2 linked regions of the Bombyx mori genome follow. The main gene of each other region encodes a partner of the protein of the gene in region 2 in a complex. Links are inferred from orthologs where the notes say so. Each region holds a gene or a part of one and is shown on either strand. Other genes may lie near its edges.

Region 1 (5,201 bases), on a different chromosome or scaffold from region 2:
AACTATAAGAACTAAACAACCTATTTTAAAACAAAATTGGCATCAATTTAGTTCTTATGAACTATTTCAATTATTAATTTATCAATTATAAACATATTTAAAAAAAATTAAGATCCCTTGAGAGTTCACGTTCCTTGCTGAATCAGTTTCTCTTCTGAAACGGAGAAACAAAGTATCTTAAGTATGTAACAAATATTGAAAAAATACGACCATGAAAAATTTAGTGTTAATGTAATCTTACTTACAAATTAATATATTACATAACACGTTCTGGTTCAAATATAGTGCATCAATCTTTTCATGTTTCAGACATTTTAGTGCTCCTTATAATTTTTCCATAAAATTTTGTCATTATCAAACCTTTGTCTACAAAAATAAAAACATTATTTTATATTGGGTAGAAGGATGAACGTGGTCACAGGCCACTTGGTGTAACTTAGTTATCAAACACCAGGAAACAAAACGTGAATGCCATCATCTAACTTTGGATGTGAGATCAATTGTGCTGTATTTTATTTAAACAGGAAAGCATGACTGATTGATCATTCCAAAAAACTAGTTCGGGCCCACTTGACAATAAGCATATAATACGCTGAGTTGCAAAACATAAATACTTCCACCCACTCGAGACAATTTTATTATCTGAGGTGTGTGTGTGATAGTACGAGACTTAATACCGACTGTTTTGATCAAAACTTAACATATATGATAGCTAGGCAGCAGAAATAGGAAGGACCATTAGTTGGTGCTAATTCATTTAATTATATTATGAATAATAATTCTGTTAGCAAATAATATACCGGGAAAATAGTGTAAACTCACCGTTATCAAGGCATCCGAAATAGCATTTCATTTTCGATCTTCGAGGCATGCTGATTTTTAATAATAAACATTCTGTAAGAAATGAAAATAGTTACACAGGCTTACGAAACGCTAACGAAGAAAAAAGTATTGGAGCCAAGTTATGTCTAAAGAGAATTCAAAACAGAGTTTCTCAATGTCTAATCGTCTAATATTCTCATAAAGCTAAAAGTTGCTCTAAATTAATACTACAACGTAAAATAACTCACACCAAGACCAAAAAAAAACGATTTAAAAAATTAAATCGTTACGACATTTTGAAAACTTTTTTTTTTTTTGAGATTGTTTTACGGCCCTGGAATTTTGAAAACTTCAAAGCAGTGTTTCCACTTACGTTTTTTTTAACACATTTTACCCTAGTTTCTTTTGAATTTACCCTAAAATTTCCTAGACAACTTTCATAAATCCTTTATATAGAAAGCGTAAATAAAATACAGAAAATAAACCACAGCATATTATTTAATGTAGGTATATATAATATAAACGCCCCCAGAAGATCATAGATCTATAGGATTAGAATTTTCAAGGAAGTCGACGCATTGCTTTTATATTCTTTTGCTGCACAACCTAACACTGTTCGGTTCTAAAATTGAGCAATTGTTTGCTGGCAAAGTTGGGAACTTTCTATGAAGCAAGCCGTTCAGGGTTTCATTAGAAAGCCTGTTTCTTTTGTCAGTTTTTAAATTTGAGAACACTGAATAATCTTTCCACCTCAGTCTTTGAAGAAGGAACTGCTAGCAAAAGTGAAATGACAATTACAAGGTTTCGTAAATGAAATTACCATGATAATCTTTCATGGTACATGAAGTACCTGTATATTACAATACAAGTAAGTTCTGGTGACATCAACGAAAATAGGTAAATAAAAATTTGGCGGATTATACTTATTGGGATTCTGGGGAATCCCTAAGAAAAAGCAGTGGCTTAATCTATGATTTACTTTACTAGAAGGTTACTGTTGAATCAAACCTTTATAGTTTTTATACACAACTCTGTTTTATTCTTTTACTTGTCAACTCGACTTAATGTCATTCTCTCTCCATAAAATAAAATGTTCATTGTTTTACTTTAATTATCGTTTATTTTAAAATTCACAACAGTTACTAGTATAGGCTTTGCTTTTTACCCCGAAATATCCTAAATCCTGGTATTTTTTAAATTGTCTTTATCATCCAAAATATCAGCTATTTTTCCCTAAAAAAGGGAGAATTCCCTAAAAGTGGAAGCACTGCTTCAAAGTACGCTACATTTTTTATTGAGTCAGAACTCATATATGCCATCTAGTGAGTTTATTAGATCATTAATGCCTAAAAGTTACAAAAATGACGTCGCCACAGGAGTAAGATGACGCTAGTTGTATGTTATTTTCCTTTGTATGGGAGTTGCACCCCCCTGCATTTAAGAGATTTTAGTAAATTCTCTCCACTTTACTGAGATGTTATTTCATTATTTCTCATCCAATACCTACAATTTTACCTTATCTTACCTCAGATTCAATTCCTTAATAATCATTTAATTTTATTTAGTACATTTTCACACAACAACACACTTGGATTTGACTGTATGGCCTACCTTACCTTTGGCTATGTAATGAACGAATCAAACAATGATGCTTATGTCAAATCTGTCATCAATGGTGATAATTCATGACTAAAAAATTGAAAGGAACTTAAGGTGTGGCGTGATCTTTGCGAAAGTTTAATTTTCTACAATGGCTGCAACTTTAAAACCGTATCTAACAGCGGTGCGTCACACGCTCACTGCCGCTATGTGCTTAGAACACTTTTCATCGCAAGTTGTCGAGAAATACACCAAGCCGGAGGTCGAAGTTAGAACAAGCAAAGAACTTTTACTCAATCCTGTTGTTATTTCAAGAAATTCTAATGAAAAAGTATTAATAGAGTCTTCAATAAATTCAATTAGGGTGAGTATTATGATCAAGCAGGCGGATGAGATAGAGAAAATTCTTTGTAAAAAATTTATGCGGTTCATGATGATGAGAGCTGAAAACTTCATTGTATTAAGGAGGAAACCAGTTGATGGGTACCATATCAGCTTTTTGATTACTAACTTCCATACCGAACAGATGTATAAGCATAAATTGGTCGATTTTGTAATATACTTTATGGAAGAAATTGATAAAGAAATCAGTGAAATGAAATTGGCTGTCAATGCAAGAGCCAGAATTTGTTCGGAAGAATTCTTGAAGAGATTTTAACTACTTCTTTCAGTGATAGAATGAAACATCTTTATTGTACATAGAGTATGAATTCATGTGAAAAATTTGTTGCTTTGATGGCTATGTAATTTTAATTAGTGATGGAATTCATATAACCTTCATAGACAAATAAATTGTATCATTACAAAAATGACATTTAAATATGTAATTGTAGAAGAAACTAGATTTTTTCTGAACTTATTCTTTGATAGCCTAAAGGCCTATTCCAGGTAAGCACAGATGGGTAGGTGCTTACAGGCTACAATTGAACTATTAAAAATATTACGTTATTTAGATAGAGGTCAGGGAAAATACATTGCATACAGATATAAAATTTAATGCAGGTCACTGGTGCCCTAAGCGGCGCACTGAAATAATTACGTTGATTTCTGTTACTACACGCCTGGATTACCTAACTTTGCCTTCTTTTGTTTGTTAATGTATATTTTAGACTTTTAGGTCTTCTAAAAGATAGATTTATTCTTAGTACCTGTGAATTAGTCATTTCCAGACTCTACTAGATATTCCGGCACTTTAATATGTAGATCAAAGAGAAAAATCGTCATTATTACGTCAGTGTGCCGCGTAGGGCACCGGTGATTTACATGGCAGTCAACATGTTAATAATTATTGGGGCTTTGTTGACATATTCTATTGTGCTATGTGCTGAGTGTCCTATCTATGACTATTATTATACTACTGGGAGCCCTTTAAGTTCTTTAGTGTAATACCTTTTGACAAAGACAGCATGTTGATTTTGCTCCTTGAATTGTCAATGTCCACATTCCACCATAGACTGTTTGTCGATAGCATGATTGTCTGCTTTCATGGGTAAAAACAATTATTGTAATTTGATATTTGTAAAAAGTAAAAATAGCGTGAATGTTTCTTCCTGTTCTTTTACATTATTATTTTTATGGTATAATTGTTTTAATGTTGATTATGTAAGTTTTGAATTAATTTCTGGTGTAATTTGAAAACTTTAATATTCTTAATTATAATGCAGTAAATGTGTATAATTAAATTCAGATTTAAATATAAAACATTTTTTGTATTTATAACACTAATATGTCTTTTTTTTGTAAACCTATTTGCTGGTAGCCTATTTGGCTATTCCAGCATGGATAGGTAGGTGAGCTCACTGGTTCAACCTGAAAGAACTTGCTAACACTAGCCCTTAGCAAGTGTAGTGCTTTGTAGAATCTACCGATGGAACACAATTATGACCTACGGTGGTGGTCTAAATAGACATATTTTAATGTCTATGAAACACTAATATTTGTATCAGTTTTTTGTAAATAAAACTAGAAACTTACTTAAGCATGTAGTTTGAATTATTTATATCATTATTTGAATTAATCCTGACTATAAAACTTACATTATTTTTATAATTATTTATTGGTTTATCATACTGAGCACCAATAATTTCTTTTTGTTAAGCTAAAATAAATTGCTCATTAAAACTCCAGAAAGTTATACTGAAACTTTTAGTGCATATAATCTATAAGGTATGATGATATTATGTACTGTTTTTTTGCTTTAATCATAGAAAAGGAGAAACAGGAGATCTTTGGCAAATTACATTTTTCTAGTTTACTCCTGAGTATAAACTTTTGGGAATTGATGCCACGAGAAGATTTGCATCAAAATGGTTTGCTGCTTGGTAGGCAAAAAGTCCGAATGTTGATGTTTAGGGCTTGTTGCTAAGCTGATTTTTAAAATGTCACTAACACAGTTGTAGTTGCTATACAACTTATATTAGGATGAGTGTCTATTACTACGCATATAATGAATTTGCTATAAGAATATAAAATATATTTACAAAAAAGAATTAACTAATATCACAATATCAAAGGACTTTTATATTCAAAACAAAAAATTATCAGTAACAATCTCTTCATCAGATTTTGACAATATTCAGGTTTAATTAACACGTAGTAGCTGTTTAATTAACTCCAACCAAACGTATACCACGATGTACTGATACAGAAAACCAGTTTTAGTTCTTAGACTTGGCAGTACGCAATGTAAATCCTTCGCCTGTAAATGCTTGAAAAGGTTCGGTTTGAGCCTCCTCTTTAGGGTCTTTGGCTGGTCTTGAATTTCTGATAAATCGCAGTGT
Region 2 (5,847 bases):
TAGAATTTTTGGTATTTCAACCTTAAATTAGTCTACTGTAAAGTTCACGCATTGTCGCTTAGTCACGTTTGCTTTTCAAGCGTCGATATGTATATATTAGTATATGTATATATATATAAATATACTAATTGAAATTCAGTGAAAATACTGATGTCTTTATAGGTGTCTTGAATATTGAGTTGTTTTTGGTTGCCTAAAATTTAAGACAATTTGTATATCAAGTAATGCCATCAACAAGCTATACCAGTGCTCAGTTGCTTAGTGCGAGTTTTTTAACGTTCTCGATAGCGTAATAGTTAACTCAGTGCAGTTGGAACAGCGCCCCTAGCGGCAAATGTAGGCAAACGTTCCAACTGCATACAAATATGAGTTAACTTTTAAAAATGTTGAGAAACCTTATATGTTCTTGTATGGATAAAAATAGCCAATTTCGTTCCTACTTAAAAAATGCACGACCCGTTCTTGTACTGTACCATCTGTACTTCTTGTACAATAAAATATATTGGTGGTAGGACCTCTTGAGTCCGTGCGGGTGGGTACCACCACCCTGCCTATTTCTGCCGTGAAGCAGTAATGCGTTTTGGTTTGAAGGGTGGGGCAGCTGTTGTAACTACTATACTTGAGACCTTAGAACTTATATCTCATGGTGGGTGGCGCATTTACGTTGTGGATGTTTATGGGCTCCAGTAACCACTTAACCACCAGGTGGGCTGTGAGCTTGTCCAATCATCTAAGCAAAAAAAAAATCGAGACCTCAACTTCATGTCTCAAAGGTCTATATCCCAAAATATTTTTTGCTTTCTCAACAACGTCTTTCGAAGTTTTGGCCAAGCTGTGATGTAATGGTGACCACACCAAAAAACCTTGAAATAAATTCACTGGCTGGCAGTGTCGTATGGGGCCGATAAGGAGTGTCATTGATAAATGTGCAAATGGTGTTATTTCAGATACGTTGAAGCGCAGGAAGATCGCGTGACTGTTGTGTTTTCAACAGTCTTTCGACACGAAGATGATATGGTCATTGGGAAAGTGTTTATGCAAGAACTGAAAGAGGGAAGAAGGGCGTCGCACACCGCACCTCAAGTAAGTATATTGATTTTAATATATATGCTATATTAAGCAGCACATATTATTTTCTTCTTCTTCTTCTTCTTCTTAGTCGCATACTTCATTGCTGAAGGTCGTATCCCTGAAAGCCCTTCGTGGCTCTTTGTATCATCAGCTTCCATTTCATGCTAATACTCTTGTTTCATTGTTTGCTTTCATAGGATTTCTTGGGAGGGGTAGTGCAGTGGTTTCCCCTTGCCTTCTGCACCGCAGTGATGCTGTGTAAATAGTTAGTACGCCCTGCTGCCGACGCCTAAATATCCGACTTAAGTAGAGATTACCGGACCCCCTTTTTATCTCACATCTACTTGTCAACCTATATCTCCAAAGGGGTTGGTTACCTCAATCACGAAAATAGGTTACTTGGCGTAACAGGGTTCATCACGACAGATTATTTTACAATACTTCAATCTCATGTCTCAAGTACGGTTGAGGCACATGGAACTGGGGGCCATCAGCCTTCGTTCACGTCTACACTACACATCATCACTACAATAAAGTCCTGTACTATCAATATTTCTTTTGATGCTAATCAGGGTCTTCTTGCCTACTGTCTATTTATTTTGTAGTTTTTATTTTAAAGGTCATGCACCCAAATAAACTTGTAACAAGAATTTAAAAGCTTAACGATTTGTTCATGTGTATCCAGGTGTTGTTTTCACACAAGGAGCCGCCGCTAGAACTGGTCGACACTGACGCCAGAGTGGGTGACAACATCAGCTACGTCACATTTGGTGAGTTAATAACTATTTAAGTTGAGTGTTCAGCTTGATGGTTGAAACATTGAGTGAACATGTGTTTATTTATGTCAAGGCTCAAACCTGAGGCAGGTCAGAATTGAATATGTACTGTACATGTTATGAATGTCCATGACGGACGAATAATATCAATTAACAAAAATCGTATCTACATAATTAATCTGCTTGATTAGTTGGTTGGTTGTCAGAAAATGTCCTTTGTGAATTTGAATTGTAGATACCACCATACTGGAAAATCTCTGTTTTGAATAACTTTTATTTTCCTGCACATAATCTCTTACATTTCTTGTTACTTTACATAGCGCATATCCGACACTGAAAATCAAGACGCGTTACTTTTGATCGTGTCGCCTACTGTGCGTGCTTACTTACCTATCATTTAGTATTCCAAGAAAAGAAAAACCATTGATTATTAATTAAAAAAATTTTGTAATCGTGAGTACAACCGAATGTTTTTTTTATTTACTGCCTGAGCACGCAGAGACACGAGTTGAAGGTTCGAATTGAAACGCATTTGCTTGCTTTTTAGTAATGGCAACAATGTGGACTTATAGTTGCCTCCTGATTGTAAGTGATTACCGTCGCTCATGGACGTCAGCAATGCCAGGGGCAGAGCCAAGCTGCTGCCTATCAAGCGATTCACACACAGACACACATTATTCACATTTTAATGGGGACAATTGCTCCTCGCATTCCTTTACCTCCTCACAATAGTGAATAAAACGTAATCGCTTAACGGAGTGTGTGTGTGTTGGGCAGTGCTGTTCCCGCGGCACACGTGCGCGGCGGCGCGCGACAACACCATCGACCTGCTGCACATGTTCCGCGACTACCTGCACTACCACATCAAGTGCTCCAAGGTGTACGTGCACTCGCGCATGCGCGCCAAGGCCGGCGACCTGCTCAAGGTGCTCAACCGCGCGCGCCCGCACGCCGCCGCGCGCCCCTCCGAGCGCAAGACCATCACGTGAGTGCGGCCGGCCGGCCCTAACACGATTTTTTTTTATTTTTTTTATTGCTTAGACGGGTGGACGAGCTCACAGCCCACCTGGTGTTAAGTGGTAACTGGAGCCCATAGACGTTTACAACGTAAATCCGCCACCCACTTTGAGATATAAGTTCTAAGGTCTCACTATAGTTACAACGGCTCCCTTACCCTTCAAACTGAAACGCATTACTGCTTCACGGTAGAAACAGGCAGGGTGATGATATCTACCCGTGCGGACTCACAAGACGTCTTACCACCAGGACGACGAACTCATTTCTCTCAATTTAATCATCTTCATTTCATTTCACTTTAATATAATTTTTCATAAAAATATGAATATAAATTAAAATAAGACATGACTTAAAGGTCACAAAATCCCTTAAAAAAACATTCTCTCAACCTTTCGTTTCATTAATATTATATCAGGCTGACCCGGCAGACTACGTAGTGCATGAATCGACAAATAAAAGACCTAAACTTTTGTATAAAATAAACTTAAAACAAACAAAAGGAATCCGTTCGACGGGGGGGGGGGGGGACATCAAAGGAAAAACAACATTGTTAATTTTATTTAATTCCGAGCATTTTCATATTTCTCTACCTTTTAAACCTTCTCTGGACTTCCACAAATAATTCAAGACCAAAATTAGCCAAATCGGTCCAGCCGTTCTCGAGTTTTAGCGAGACTAACGAACAGCAATCATTTTTATATATATAAATTTTTCTCGCACAGGGGCAGAACTTTTGTGAGAAGAGATTGAGTGTTACGTTGCGGCGGAAGGTAGACGCCGAACACAGTGTGCGCGTTCTCCGTCGTCCGGTGACGTCATCAGTGACGTCATCAGTGACGCGACCTCCACCCTTCGCACGTCACGACGAGAACGTTCATTATAGTCTTTGAATCCACCTTGTAATTTGAACAATTTTAAATTATTAACCCCGGTCGTCAGATACACGAGCGGACGCTGTGTGCATTGCAGTGTCGTCCGACGCTCGATAATATTCAAACGAAATTGTTAATTTTTATTAATTTATTACTTAAAAGATCGTTTAAGTGTTACTTCTATTCATATTTTACACTTCCCGAGTGTCCTTCGGAACGTCACAAAGTACTTATTATAACATTGTCTTGATGCCATTTTCACGAAACATTTTTGCCAAATATACGCTCGTGTGCTCAATGATTTAGCGTGCTGCCGAGAGCGTTTCGTAGTTAACGCGAGGAAACTTGAACATTTTATGAATATTTATTCGATCGACTCGTGATCGTAGCGCGTAAATTAATGTTGCAGTAGTGGTAATCGTCGACGAAGACGAAGTTGTGCTTTATTGTAACGAAAGCTCCGCATCCAGACTTGGGTTCCTAAAGTTTAGCGTTCGACTTTACGTATACAGAAATATATATATATATCTAGATAATGTTGTATAGTTTCCGTCGAAGGTAGGAGACTCGCTAACGTAATTTTGTTGTAAGTTAATACAATTACCGGTCTTCGTCTAGAAATAAAATGTAATATAATAATTATTATGACACACTACTTACTTACCTATTCGTTTTAGATGTAAAAATGTATATCACATGAATGTTGAGACAGGTAACATGCACAAACTCGTACGAATTATTTTATCATTTTATATTATTTAACTGCTCTTGTATTTATTTCTTAACATTTTTGTATAATTCAATGATAATAATATTACGTGTAACACGAACAATGTTTAAATGTATTTTTTACCGTTTACGTTTTAGATAGGTCCGATCAATTATAATTAATATATAAGTGAAAATGTATAGTACCTTACAATAGATTCTTCCATAGACCACGAGAACTATGTGTAATGGCCTTATTTATGGTGATGCTGATTTAGTTCGATCGATGCGATGCGATTATTGTTCTGTAGAGACGCTAGGTTAGAAACGCAATATGTATATTTGACTATTAACAACAGTCCGTTTTCACTGCAAATTCCGAAAAGCATTTGTATTCACCCTAGACGAATTTTATTGCAATATTTTATTAATACAATTTTTTGCTTAGTAAAACATATTGGTGCAACATTCTTACGACACGTGTTTAGCGTCGTAGGCTTAGCGCGAGCACGTTGCTCGGATTATTGAGAAAAAAAAAACACCAAATAATTCGTAACTGTAATATGATAACGCAATCCAAACTCGCCGTGGTAAAATAATGTGTTAAAAATAAAATATAAGTAAAAAATATAACAGTGTTTTAATTAATTATATTAGGATGAGAGATTATCGAGTCGTGGACTGAAAGTTGACTAAGGTGATTTGTTCATCGCTTAATAGTCACGTTGGGATTTATATGAATTAAGTAATTCGCTAAGTCAATGGTCGCGGTGGCAAGTTTATGACATGACATGAAATAATAAATATATAAATTGAATGAATGAAAATTAAAAATGGCATACGTAGACACAATTGTAAACTAATTAATGAAACGTTAGCTAACTTGAAATTTTAATGTAATTCTTATTTTCGAAAACTTGCTAAGTAAATATTATTTATGTAAAATAAAAGTAAGTTAAAATGTTGCTTTAAAGTTATTGCTTACATTTGATTATTGTTTTACTGTCAGTTTTAAAGCGAGATTATGTTGACTGTGCGGAACACGGAAGTTATTTGTGAATATGTAATTATTATTCTTGTGATTTAAAAATCCGTTTATACTGTATTTTTATTTTCTAGATTAAAGAAAACTTACTGCAATATGATATTTGTTTTATTCACGACACACTTAACGAAGTCGCTCAAACTAAAATACTATACAGATAGAGGTACTGGTGGTATGGTGGTAGGACCTCTTGTGAGTCCGCACGGGTAGGTACCACTGCTCTGCCTATTTCTGCCGTGAAGCAGTAATGCGTTTCGGTTTGAAGGGTGGGGCAGCCGTTGTAACTATACTTGAGACCTTAGAACTTATATCTCAAGGTGGGTGGCGCATTTACGTTATAGATGTCTATGAGCTCCAG

The links. The genes of interacting proteins can lie anywhere in the genome.
Region 1: actin-related protein 2/3 complex subunit 2 (region 2) and actin related protein 2/3 complex subunit 4 share a complex: the UniProt entries of both Caenorhabditis elegans proteins name them as parts of the arp2/3 complex. The link is inferred for Bombyx mori from reciprocal best matches to the Caenorhabditis elegans genes arx-4 and arx-6.

What each region holds. Positions count from the first base shown.
Region 1 is NC_085122.1:8,791,526-8,796,726, reverse strand, and holds actin related protein 2/3 complex subunit 4, read left to right. Parts: upstream 1-2,504; 5' UTR 2,505-2,572; coding exon 2,573-3,079; 3' UTR 3,080-3,358; downstream 3,359-5,201. UniProt on the Caenorhabditis elegans protein: Functions as actin-binding component of the Arp2/3 complex which is involved in regulation of actin polymerization and together with an activating nucleation-promoting factor (NPF) mediates the formation of branched actin networks.
Region 2 is NC_085109.1:10,845,625-10,851,471, forward strand, and holds the end of actin-related protein 2/3 complex subunit 2, read left to right. Parts: intron 1-947; coding exon 948-1,083; intron 1,084-1,756; coding exon 1,757-1,841; intron 1,842-2,624; coding exon 2,625-2,832; intron 2,833-3,586; coding exon 3,587-3,614; 3' UTR 3,615-5,586; downstream 5,587-5,847. UniProt on the Caenorhabditis elegans protein: Functions as actin-binding component of the Arp2/3 complex which is involved in regulation of actin polymerization and together with an activating nucleation-promoting factor (NPF) mediates the formation of branched actin networks.